2 linked regions of the Sus scrofa genome follow. The protein of the gene in region 1 purifies or fractionates together with the protein of each later gene. This does not show direct contact. Links are inferred from orthologs where the notes say so. Each region holds a gene or a part of one and is shown in the gene's direction. Other genes may lie near its edges.

Evidence for each region. The genes of interacting proteins can lie anywhere in the genome.
Region 2: the proteins of CDK9 (region 1) and IMMT purify together in Homo sapiens (affinity purification with mass spectrometry; 3 studies listed by BioGRID, with this or other methods). This does not show direct contact. The link is inferred for Sus scrofa from reciprocal best matches to the Homo sapiens genes CDK9 and IMMT.

The regions. Positions count from the first base shown.
Region 1 is NC_010443.5:268,274,106-268,280,551, forward strand, and holds CDK9 (cyclin-dependent kinase 9), read left to right. Parts: upstream 1-2,977; coding exon 2,978-3,069; intron 3,070-3,533; coding exon 3,534-3,615; intron 3,616-4,361; coding exon 4,362-4,452; intron 4,453-4,819; coding exon 4,820-4,986; intron 4,987-5,097; coding exon 5,098-5,269; intron 5,270-5,422; coding exon 5,423-5,571; intron 5,572-6,022; coding exon 6,023-6,388; downstream 6,389-6,446. UniProt on the Homo sapiens protein: Protein kinase involved in the regulation of transcription.
Region 2 is NC_010445.4:58,594,587-58,600,553, forward strand, and holds part of IMMT (MICOS complex subunit MIC60), read left to right. Parts: intron 1-993; coding exon 994-1,183; intron 1,184-3,367; coding exon 3,368-3,479; intron 3,480-5,777; coding exon 5,778-5,915; intron 5,916-5,967. UniProt on the Homo sapiens protein: Component of the MICOS complex, a large protein complex of the mitochondrial inner membrane that plays crucial roles in the maintenance of crista junctions, inner membrane architecture, and formation of contact sites to the outer membrane.

The DNA.
Region 1 (6,446 bases):
TCAGTCAGTCAGCAAACAGCCTGAGGACCGGCCACGTGCCTGGCCTGGCCGGCTTAAGGGATCCATGAACACAGGAGAGAGGTCTCTCAAACCAGCACATCGGGAGTCAAAGGCAGTGAGAAACTGTTTCTGGCTAGGACCTCATTTCTTCTCCCTTCCCCCTGGGTGGGCTGGGGTCCCAGGCCTGCGCAGCCCTCTAAAGGGCTTCTGCCTACCTGCCTGCCTCCCCCAGGGAGGGCTGAGAGGCCGAGACCCCGAGGGGAAGTGACCGGCAATGTCAAGGTTCAGGGCAGGGATGGTGGGAGGTGATGACACCACCGGAACTTCTGCTGAGGCCTCTGCCCACAGGATGTGACTTCGGGAGGGTTCGTGAGAAACACACAGGGGCTCCGGCCTCAGAGTCTGGGGTGGAGGACACCCAGACCCGTGGCAGACCTCCCCTCCCACACCACCCACTGGCATCCTGGGCACCCAGCTGGCAGGGCTGTGCCGTGTCTGTGTCCTAACTCCACCCCGAGCCCCAGTGGGCGGGATCCTGATGCGGGTCATTGCCTGAGGTTGGCACCTGACTGACCAGGGTCAAGAGAGCTGTTTGACCCTGGCCGGGTGATGTCATCTCTGAGTGTCAGCGTCCTTCTGTGTACAGGAGAGGTAATTACAGTATAATACTGCTGAGTGAGAATTGAGATAATTCCCATAAAGTGCTAAGTGTACTGTTTGGACCATTTATTTTCCCTCCATAAATTGTAATTACTACACTTCTTATTATTTTCTCCCTCCTTGACCTCCCCACCCCCGATTCAGCCAATGGCTGCCCTGCTTCTAGTAGTGTACCCAAGAAGCTGACCCCAGATCGCCCCCTGACATGCCTAAAACCCTCGCCAACTCCCCACGGCCTTTAGGGGAGGGCTCGCGGCTCCTCGCCCGACCCTCAAGACCCTCCCTGAAAGGGCCCTCCCCGGCAGAACAAGCCCTCTTGGGACCCTAGGATCAGCAGACCCATTCCTGACTCCTACAAGGGAGCTTCAAGGCCAAGCCATGTGAGCTAAGAGCTGGAGAGTAAGCCGGGGAGGGCTTCCTGCTGGTTGCAGAGATACTGGGGTGCAATCAGGGTGCACAGCCCTGGAGACGGCAGGCCCAGGGCCTTAGGAACACTGTGGCCACAGCCTAGGAGGGAAGCTGGAAAGAGCCTCAAATGTCACGATTCGACTTTTCCTGAAGACAGTGGAGGGACTCCACCTGGGACTGATCTGGCGGATGCTGGGAGGGGGACAGATGGAGAGGGCAGACTGGGAAGGACAGGTCCCAGGGTCCACTGGCAGAGGACTGGGGAGGAGCAGGCAGATGGAAGCGGCACAGAGGAGACAGAAAAGACAGCTTTGGGGGGAGGCTGGTTGTTGAGTAGGGCTGGAAGAAGAAACAGGAAGCTCCTGGAGCCAGGAAGATGCTGGGGAAAGGCCAGGGGAGGGGAAGGGGGCAGAGAGCCAGAGAAGGAGATGGGTGAATGGTGGGCTTGGAACTTGGCATGGACAGCGGGCCTCAAACAGTACCACTGCTATACTCCTGGACAGACTGTAAATAGCCTGAGTCAGAGAATCCTTTTCAAATTCAGACAGACAAGGTTCGAGTCCCAGCTTTGTCACTGTGTAACCTCGGGCAAATGATTTCACCTCTCTGAGCCTCGATGTGCTCTTCTATAAAATGGGTTAGTGACCCTAACTTATGGGGCTGTTGATTCAGGATTCCGCAGGAATGCCCAGCACTTGCTGAACACACAAGGGTTGTCGAATAAATGCTGGCTACTTTTGTGACTACCGACCCAGGCACGACCATCTTGGGCACAGCTCAGCTGGGACGGGGGTCCTGGGCCTCATCCCTGCCTCCCAGAGAATAGGGGGCCCGGGAGTTGCTCGCTTGCCGCCTCCAATGTCGCCGCGCCCCCTGGCGGCCATCGGTTGCCATATCAACGGCGGCCGGCGGGGGCCCGGAGAGGCGGGCGGTGGGGGCCGTTCTCTCCTCTCTGGACCCGAGGCTGCTTCCTCGGCGCCTCCCTCCTTTGCCTGTAGGGGGGCACCCGGAGCTGGGAAGGAAGGGGTTCCCTGAAGCTGCTGGCATGTGTGGGTAAACTGAGGCACGCGGCGAGTCGCCCAGCAGCCAGGTGTGGAGCGCGGGGCCCCACCTCCGAAGGCGGAGGAGGGGCCGCGGGCGGTGACGCGCCGAGGGCGGCGGGCGGACAGCGGGCGGGCGGGCGGCAGTGGCGGCGGCGGCGGCGGCGGCGGCAGCGGCGGCAGGTGCGGCCGCGAAGGGTGGGAGGGAGGAGGGAGGGGGCGGGCGGAGGGGGAGGGGAGGGCGAGGCCGGGGCACCTCCCCCTTTATAACGCGCCCCCTCCCGGGCTCTCGGGCCGCCTCCTCGTCGGCTCTTTCCGTCTGGCCCCCTCGTCCGGCCGCCCCGGGCCCGGGCCCGGCCAGGGAGCCCCCAGGCCGAGGCTTGGGGGGCGCCCCCCTCCCGCCGCCCCGCGCAGCCTGGCGGAGGCGGCGCCGTCGGAGGAGGAGGAGCAGGGCACTGCGGCTGGCCCCGGATCGGGCGCCAGAGCGGCAGCGGCTTCGGCAGCAGCGGCGGCCCGAGCCGATGCAGCGGGACGCACCACCCCGAGCCCCAGCCCCGGCGCCCCGGCTCCCCGCGCCCCCGATCGGGGCCGCCGCCAGCACTGGCGGCGGCGGAGGCGGGGGCAGCGGCGGTGGCGGAGGCGCCTCTGCAGCTCCGGCTCCTCCTGGCCTCCCGGGAACTACAAGTCCCAGGGGGCCTGGCGGCGGACGGCGGACGGAAGAGGCGGGGTCGGCGCCGCGGGGCCGGAAGTGGCCGTGGAGGCGGAAGTGGCGCGGCCGCGGAGGGGCCTGGAGCACGGCGGCGGGACCCGGAGCGGGAGCGGCGGCGGCAGCGGCGGCTGGAGGTGGCGGCGGCGCACTGGAGGCGGCCATGGCAAAGCAGTACGACTCGGTGGAGTGCCCCTTTTGTGATGAGGTGACCAAATATGAGAAGCTCGCTAAAATCGGCCAAGGCACCTTCGGGTAAGGCTGGGCCCCCAGGGACCAGGAGCCCTGAGCCTGCACCCCTCTGGACCGATGTCGAGACGCCCAGGCCCGTGTCCAGTTGGTTGGGAAGCCACCTAGCCGCAAACTTGTCCCCTGGTCTCGCTAGGCCGCACCGCAGCCCGCCCGTGCCTGACCGAGCCGGCTGGCGGGGAGGAGCCTGAGGCCCTTGATGGGAGGCAGGGAGGGGTTGCAGAGAGGAGCCTGTGAGTGGAGCGGGATCTCTCCCAGCAGCGGCGCCTGGGTGAGGAGAAAGGGCAAAGGGAAGGAAATAGAGGCTCGGAGAGGGACCGAAGATACCGCGCGTTGGTGTAGCCGAGGGCCCTCTGTACCCGGCCCAGCCCCGCCCGGGATTCCCTTTCCTGCCCTCCTCTGGTGGGGGCGGGGCGGGCCCTGCGGAAACGGCCTCAAGAGTCCTCTTGGGTCCCCCTTTCGGCCTGCAGGGAGGTGTTTAAGGCAAAGCACCGCAAGACCGGCCAAAAGGTGGCTCTGAAGAAGGTACTGATGGAGAACGAGAAGGAGGGGGTGAGTACGGGGCGGGTGGGCAGGCCTGCTAGGTCCCTTGGGCAGAGGTTGGGTTTCCACCCTGCTTCTGGGACTTTCATGCTGAGGTTGAATTTATGTGTTTAGGAATTTCTGTGTTCTATGGAATCTGACTTTCAGGTTAAATCTTTTAATTCAAATGTTTTAAAGAGTTTGATGTTTCATTCTCAGGTGCACGTGGTTGGTGCCAGGAGGGGGAGCTCATGCTTGCACTGAGTGCACCCTGGTTCCTGAAGTTAGGAAGTTTTTAAACACTTTTCCTTTGGGCTTTACTTTTGTCGAATGTTTAAAAAAAAAAATCATATGTCATAGCCCTAAAAGAGTAACTGGTATTCAATTGAAATGCTCCCCCCCCCATCGTAGCTCTAGTCCAGTTTCCCAAAGACCTGCTTCTTTATTTTTTGTCTTGTTAACCATGTAACAGGTTAAACACGGGTGCAGAGCTCTACATTATGAGTTTAAAGAAACCGTGCAGCATTTAATGGCTAGTCATAAAGCATTTGTGTGAAGTAGCAAAACTTCAAGTCATCGTCTGAAACCAGCTCCCGAAGGGGTACTTTCTACTAGTATGCCCGTGTTCTAAATATGGCATCTGAGGCAGCTCATTTCAGAGCCCACGATTTGACTCTGTCTCCCAACCTTCGACCCTTACTGTGGATCCCATGGCCAGTTCCTGGGTCAGTAGTGTGCTCTCCCGCTCTTGACCTCCTTGTCTTTCTCTCACCCAGTTCCCCATCACGGCCTTGCGGGAAATCAAGATCCTCCAGCTCCTAAAACACGAGAACGTGGTCAACCTGATTGAGATCTGTCGAACCAAAGGTAAGCTGTTTGGATCTTGCCCTCCGTTTTCAGGTGGGGAGAATGAGGCTTCTCGCCTCAGGTTTTGCTGGCGGAGCTGGAACCGGACCCACTTCACTGCCTCTTCTTAACCCAGACACACCACCTGCAACTGCTTTCCCGGGTCCTTTTGTGGGAGCAGGTGCTTCCCCAGGGCCTGCCACAGCGCCCGGCCCAGAGAAGCACTCAGAAAATATTTTACCCGTGCAGGAATGGGCAGCCACATACCCACTGTCCATAGGTTGGAGGGGGTAGGAGCTGGTTGTGGGAAGATGAGTTGCGTGTGAGGTTTTTGATTTTTTTTTTTTTTTCCCACCCCTCTCTTTCTCCCTCGTGCTTCCTGACTCAGCTTCCCCCTATAACCGCTGCAAAGGCAGCATATACCTGGTGTTTGACTTCTGTGAACATGACCTCGCCGGGCTGCTGAGCAACGTCTTAGTCAAGTTCACGCTGTCGGAGATCAAGCGGGTCATGCAGATGTTGCTCAATGGCCTCTACTACATCCACAGGAACAAGGTGGGGGCCGGGGTCGGGGGTCGGGGGGAGACCCAGGCTGGCCTGGGCTCTCCGTGCGGGGTGGGTGCGGCTCAGGGCCCCTGGCTACCCCCGCCCGTGTGCTTCCCGCAGATCCTGCACCGGGACATGAAGGCGGCCAACGTGCTCATCACCCGCGACGGGGTGCTGAAGCTGGCCGACTTCGGGCTGGCCCGGGCCTTCAGCCTTGCCAAGAACAGCCAGCCCAACCGCTACACCAACCGTGTGGTGACGCTCTGGTACCGGCCCCCGGAGCTGTTGCTCGGTGAGGACGCTTGAGCAGGCCTAGGAGGGGCAGGAGGCTGGGCCCTTAGCCAGCCTCCGCTCCCCCCTGCCTGGGCTTCTTGAGCTGCCGGCCCTGGGGCCCCGCGCCTCCGGAGGCCGGGCTCAAGGGGCCCTCCTGGTGTGCTCTTCTCAGGGGAGCGGGACTACGGCCCCCCCATCGACCTGTGGGGTGCCGGGTGCATCATGGCGGAGATGTGGACACGCAGCCCCATCATGCAGGGCAACACGGAGCAGCACCAGCTTGCCCTCATCAGCCAGCTCTGTGGCTCCATCACCCCTGAGGTGCGTCGCCAGGCTGTCTGGGCCCCGCAGGCTGCAGAGATCCAGACCTCTCCTTGGTAGAGGAGGGGCAGGGCGGGGAGCAGAGGGAGAGGTGGCTGGCGGAGGGTCACAATCTGCTCTTTGGGGCCACATGGACTGTGTTCACCGGCTCCATCACCGGTTAGGTCAATGCTTTTGGGCGAGGCTTCTGAACCTTTCAGAGCTGAGCTCCTCTTCCGGGCAACAGCCGGCTGTATCGGGCTTGCAGGCAGTCGGTGTGAGAGGGCCTGGTGCTTAGCAATTGCCACGTACAGCGGTTACTGCTGCCTTTACCTTGGAGGCATCCAGTGTGCCCTCGGGGGCGGTCTGGGAGCATCTGAAGCGAGAAGTGTTGGTCCCTTCGGGTGCTTGACCTAACAGGCCACGTGGTTCCTGAACTCACGCCATCCTCCTTCCACGCCTCCCACCCCAGGTGTGGCCAAACGTGGACAAGTATGAGCTGTTTGAGAAACTGGAGCTGGTCAAGGGCCAGAAGCGGAAGGTGAAGGACAGGCTGAAGGCCTACGTGCGTGACCCCTACGCGCTGGACCTCATCGACAAGCTGCTGGTGTTGGATCCCGCCCAGCGCATCGACAGTGACGACGCCCTCAACCACGACTTCTTCTGGTCCGACCCCATGCCCTCGGACCTCAAGGGCATGCTGTCCACCCACCTGACGTCCATGTTCGAGTACCTGGCCCCGCCGCGCCGGAAGGGCAGCCAGATCACCCAGCAGTCCACCAACCAGAGCCGCAATCCAGCCACCACCAACCAGACGGAGTTCGAGCGCGTCTTCTGAGGGCCGGCTGCTGGTGCTTCTCGCTAGGGCTGTTTGATTTTTTCCTTCTGCTCTGTGA
Region 2 (5,967 bases), on another chromosome or scaffold:
CCGGAGCTGCTGCAGTTGGATCCTTAACCACTGTGCCACAGTGGGAACTATAACACCAGATTCTTAACCTGCTATGCCACCAGAGAATTTCCTACAGAAATGGTTAATAAGGGGGAGGACTTTTTTTTTAAGGCCATACCCATAGCATATGGAAGATCCTGTGCCAGGGATTGAATCCAAGCCACAACTGCAGCAATGCTGGATCCTTTAACCCACTGTGCTGGGCTGAGTATCAAACCTGTGGCTTCGTAGCAACCCGAGCTATTATAAGTTGGATTCTTTTTTTTTTTTTTTGTCTTTTTAGGGGTGTGCCCCTGGCATATGTAGGTTCCCAGGCTAAGGGTTGAATTGGAACTGTGGTTGCCAGCCTATGCCATAGCCACAGCAGTGCCAGATCCGAGCCACATCTGCAACCTACACCACAACTCAGGGTAGCACTGGATCCGTAACCCACTAAGCTAGGCCAGGGATCAAACCTGCATCCTCATGGATACTAGTCAGGTTTGTTTCTGCTGAGCCATGACGGGAACTCCTATAGTTGAATTCTTAACCCACTGCGCCACAGCAGGAACTCCAGGGAAAGGAGCTTTGAAGATTAGTGATACTTGTTTTTTGAGTTCAGAGGAAACTTCATGACTGTGAACATGCTAAGTTTTAAGTATTAAAGGGCAAATTGCTTGGTTTTTCCTGTACCGGATATTACTATTTAAAAAAAAAAAATTCCACAAGTAAAAAATAAGCATTTTTTAAAAATTATGAACATGTTAAAATCAAATCAGGTAATACAACATTGTGAATCAACTATACTTCAATAAAAGTTTTTTAAAAAATGAGTGAAAGGTGATTGTAGCTGTGGTGATAAACTGGGCTGCTGTCATCTGAATCAGCGGTAGAGAATTACAGGCCCGAGGTCTTTGAGACTCTTATTGGTCTAGGGAAGTACGTTTAAGAGAACTGAAAAACAAAAATGTGTTTCCTATTTCTTTCACTTAGGTTGTCTCCTGGCAAAATTGCCGGCGCTGGCATTTTATTCGTTGGTGGTGGTATTGGTGGCACTATTCTGTATGCCAAATGGGATTCGCATTTCCGGACAAATGTAGAGAAAACCATACCTTATTCAGACAAACTCTTTGAAATGGTTCTTGGTTCCCCACCTTATACTGTTCCATTACCAAAGAAGTCGGTAAGAGTTTTAAGAACAGTTTCAGTTTATCCTATGGTATACTTTGAAAAGCAGGTTGTTTTCATATTAAAAATATTTTGTATGTATAGTTCAGTAGAATTTTCTGGGTATATGTTTGTCATTTTTCTTTAAATTGACCTAATATTATGTTGAGCTGGATTCCCTTTGGAGTCCTATAAGTGCTCTCATTTAGTCCACGCCACATAGAAAAAAATTATATGGCACACCAGGCTAAATGGAATGGTGAGCTCAGGCAGAGCTTATTATAGTGAGCATGCATTTCATAAGTTAAAATAATGAAACTTAAATAAAAATAAAATAGATATTGTTCTTTTGTTTTCTTTTTTCTTTGTCTTTTTAGGGCCACACCCATGGCATATGGAAGTTCCAGGCTTGGGGTCCAGTCAGAGCTGCAGCTGCCAACCTATGCCACAGCCCCAGCAATGCGAGATCTCTTCTGTTTCTGTGACCTACACCACAGCTCACGGCAATGCTGGATCCTCAACCCACTGAGTGAGGCCAGGGATCGTGGATACTAGTCGGGTTCTTAACCTGCCAGGCCACATCGGGAACTCCTAGATATATTTCTAATTTTCAGTAGTGACAAAATTCAGAACCTATTCTGTTACGTCTGAGTGGTCGTCTTTGGGACCTCTGAGTCCCAATGCCAATTTCTGGCAAAAAGGGGGACAACATAGGCAGTAAATGAAAATATTTCTTTTACTCAGTAATTTTCTCTGGTACATTATCTAGCAGTCCTGTTCATGAACAGTGCCTTAAATTAGGTGGTTATTGAGAAAGATAAAAACATATTACAGTTAGATGATATATCATAATGTGTAAGTATGTGAATCTTGGAGATTAAAGAAATAAAAAACAGATTTTAATTTTTATTATATTTTTTCTTTTTTGGCCCCACTCGAGGCATATGGAAGTTCCCGGGCCAAGGATCAAATCTGAGCTGGAGTTGTGTAACCCACTGTATTGGGCTGGGGATTGAATTGGTCCTTCCACAGAGGCAAGCCAGATCATTAATCCATTGTGCCACAGTGGAAACTCTGAATTTTAATTTTTACTAAAGTTTTTTATTTATTTGTCTTTAAAATTTTTTTGACCATACCCACAGCATGTGAAAGTTCCTGGGCCAGGGGTTGAACTTGAGTAACAGCAGTGATGTGAGCTGCTACAGTGACAACACCAGATCCTTAACCTGTTGTGCCACAAGGGAATTCCCTCATAGCCATTTATTTATTTATAATCTTTTTTTAGGGCCGCAACTGCAGTATATGAAGGTTCCCAGGCTGGGGGTCGAATCGGACTGTAAGCTGCCAGCCTACATTGAAGCCACAGCAATGCAGGATCTGAGCTGCATCTGTGACCTACGCCACAGCTCACAGCAACACTGGATTCTTTTTTTTTTTTTTGTCTTTTTGTCTTTTTTTTTGTTGTTGTTGTTGTTGTTGCTATTTCTTGGGCCGCTTCCGCGGCATATGGAGGTTCCCAGACTAGGGGTTGAATCGGAGCTGTAGCCACCGGCCTACGCCAAAGGCACAGCAACGCAGGATCCGAGCCGCGTCTGCAACCTACACCACAGCTCACGGCAACGCCGGATCGTTAACCCACTGAGCAAGGGCAGGGACCGAACCCGCAACCTCATGGTTCCTAGTCGGATTCGTTAACCACTGCGCCATGACGGGAACTCCCTGGATTCTTGACCCACTGAGTGAGGCCAGGGATCAAACCCACATCCTCATGGATACTAGTCAGCTAGTTACCGCTGAGCCATGGCGGGAACTCCCCCTCATAGCTTTTTAAAGAACATTTGTTTCTAACCAAATGTATTTAGAAAGAAAATAGAAATAGCCTTCTTAGTGTTGTGTATGTAAAAGGAATGGTGTTTAAAGTGAAGGCCCATATATCATATACTTTATTAGTTTCCCTAAGAGAAGTCTTTGTTACTGTTAAAATATGGACTAGTCATTTGGAATGAAATTTTTGGACTGCATTTTTCTAGTATGATGGCTTCTCTTACTATGGTTAATAAAATACATTGTTATGAATTATTGATAACTTTATGTTAAAAGCCTGGAAGACTTAACTTTTAAAATAATACAAGTTACTGTATGCTACCTCTTTTCATAAATAATATTATATCTGAAATGTTAAATGTTTTTCATTTCCAAGATTCAGTCTGGTCCACTAAAAATCTCTAGTGTATCAGAGGTAATGAAAGAATCTAAACAGCCTGCTTCACAACTCCAAAAACAAAAGGGAGACACTTCAGCTTCAATAACAGGTACTTATATGTAGAATCATTCTTTTAAAATTATGGGTAAATGAACTGTTCTAATGTATTTGTACTCATCATCGGGGTGGGGGGGCGGGGGCTGGTCCCCATGAAGGACTCTTCTCTCACCCTGGGGAGGGAATATTCTTACCTGTCACCTTGACTTCATTTTAGAGGTTGAGTGGGATATGGAGTTCATTTTATTGTGAACAGCTCCTGAGTAAGGCTAACAACAAGAATTGTCTTGCCTGCAGCAGACTTATTTTTCCCCTTTTCTCTGACCCCTATCCTTTCACCTTTTTAGATTTTAAGGTTTATTTTCTTTCCCCATCTCTTTTTTCTATCTGTTCACCGGTTCTTTCCTCTCTTCTTTCATAGTGATGAAAGTGTCCTGAGGAAGTTCCCTGGTGGCTCAATGGGTTAAGGATCTGGCATTGTCACTGCTGTGGCTCGGGTCACTGCTGTGTTGCAGGTTCAATCCCTGGCCCAGGAACTTCTGCATACTGCAGGCATGGCCAAAAAAAAAAAAAAAGAGAGAGAGAGTCCTGATCTAGTCTTGATCTACAGATGTTTTTTGCCTTTATGATTTCCCTGTAATCCCCACACTATTTACAGCATTTAACTAATCCTAACCTGTTCAATATACTTTTGAATCCATTATGTTCCTTCTTAGTCACTTCTGTCCTTCATTAAATCAGTTGACTTTCAGAGTTCCCGTTGTGGCTCAGTGGTAACGAACCTGACTAGTATCCATGAGGATGTAGGTTCGATCCCTGGCCTTGCTCAGTGGATCTGGTGTTGCTGTGAGTTGTGGTGTAGGTTGCAGACACGGCTCAGATTCCACGTGGCTGTGGCTGTGGCGTAGGCCGGCGGCTACAACTCCGATTCAACTCCTAGACTGGGAACCTCTGTAGGTCGTGGGTTCAGCCCTGAAAAGACCAAAAACAAAAAACAAACAAAAATCAGTTGACTTTTATCTAGCAAATATTCACTGAGTAGCTACTATGTGCGAAGTTCTGGGTGTCTTCTAGGCACTGGGGCTATATCAGAAAACAGTAAAAACAAAAACAAGTGCTGTGAACATTCCTCACTGGGATGAGAGGAGGGAAATTGTATATACATACACGAGTAAAATATATATAGGATGTCATACAGTGACAAGTGTGGGAGGAAATAATGCAATTTTAAATGGAGTGGGAAAGAAAAGTTTCTTCTGGAAGGTGTCGTTTGAGCAAAGACTAGAAGATGAGACCGTCAGTCACATAAAAGGTGCGTAGGGAAGAGCATCCAGGCAGAAGGATTAGCTAGTGCAAAGCCTTGGCCTGTTCTAGCAAGAAGCAAAGGAAGCTGGAGTGGAGTGAGAGGACAGGAGCAGATAGGTCAGAGAGGGAGCAGAAAGCCTGTGGTAGCAGTGAGAAGCGGCCATCACAGGAGTTTTGCTTCCTAGTCTGAGTGGGAAGTTGTTTGGGAGGGTTATGTGTCAGGGGATTGATATCTGACATTTATTTTCAAGATCACCAGTAATTGTGGAGGATAAGGAACCAAGGGCAGAACAGGGAGACCAGTTAATGGGCTTTGTGGTAATCCAACTCTGTCTCTTAAATGGCACCTTCAATTTACTAAAAATATAATTTTTTTTTCTCCATTTTGTTGCTTCCTGCCTCACATCTATTCCACCTTCAGAATTAATCATTTTCTCTTCCATCAACAGTATTATTTATAATTTACAAGCTCTTGCTTTTTTAACCCTCTTTTTTTAACAATGTCTACAAAATAGTTTTTTTAGCTGAGCTCTGTGCATTATTGACTCAACATCTAAACTGTGACCTTTTCTTCTTGAGATTAAAATGTCATCCTGTTCTTGCTCACACCTCTTCTTTAATCTTGATAACTCTTCAAAGCAATTAAAAATATTTTTTGGTTACTTTCTTTTGTCTGCCTTCTTCATTACAGGTTATTCCCTTTGTTATTATTTTTCATGTTATGTAAATATTATGTCCTCTTAAGTTCAGATTTACTACCATTTACTACCGTTACTAGAAGCCTTGCATGAGAATAATGGTTACAATGCAGGTGGATGCTGACAAGACTTCTTTCCCTTGTGCTTTTCTAGCCTTTGTTCATCTTGTGAGGGTTTATGCAGTGGACAGTGCCCCTAACTAATTGTGGGTTTGAATAGTGGCAGCACACATGTTTGTGTCTTTAAGGAGTCAGATGAGAAGTGGGAGATAGTAGTAGTGGTCTCCTGTGTGTTTGTTTCTCTGTTAACCCAGGAAACTATAAATACCATGCATAACATATTTATAGCACCTACAGAGGCAGCTCAAATTATTTCTGCAGCAGGTGATACACTGTCGGTCCCAGCCCCTGTGGTTCAGCATGAGGAATCTATAAAAGCCGATCGCCCTGCAACTGGTGAAGGAAAACCTAAGCCTGCAACTTCAGGTAGTTAAATTATCTGTACTCATGGTCTTATAAATGATATGCTCATCAAAAC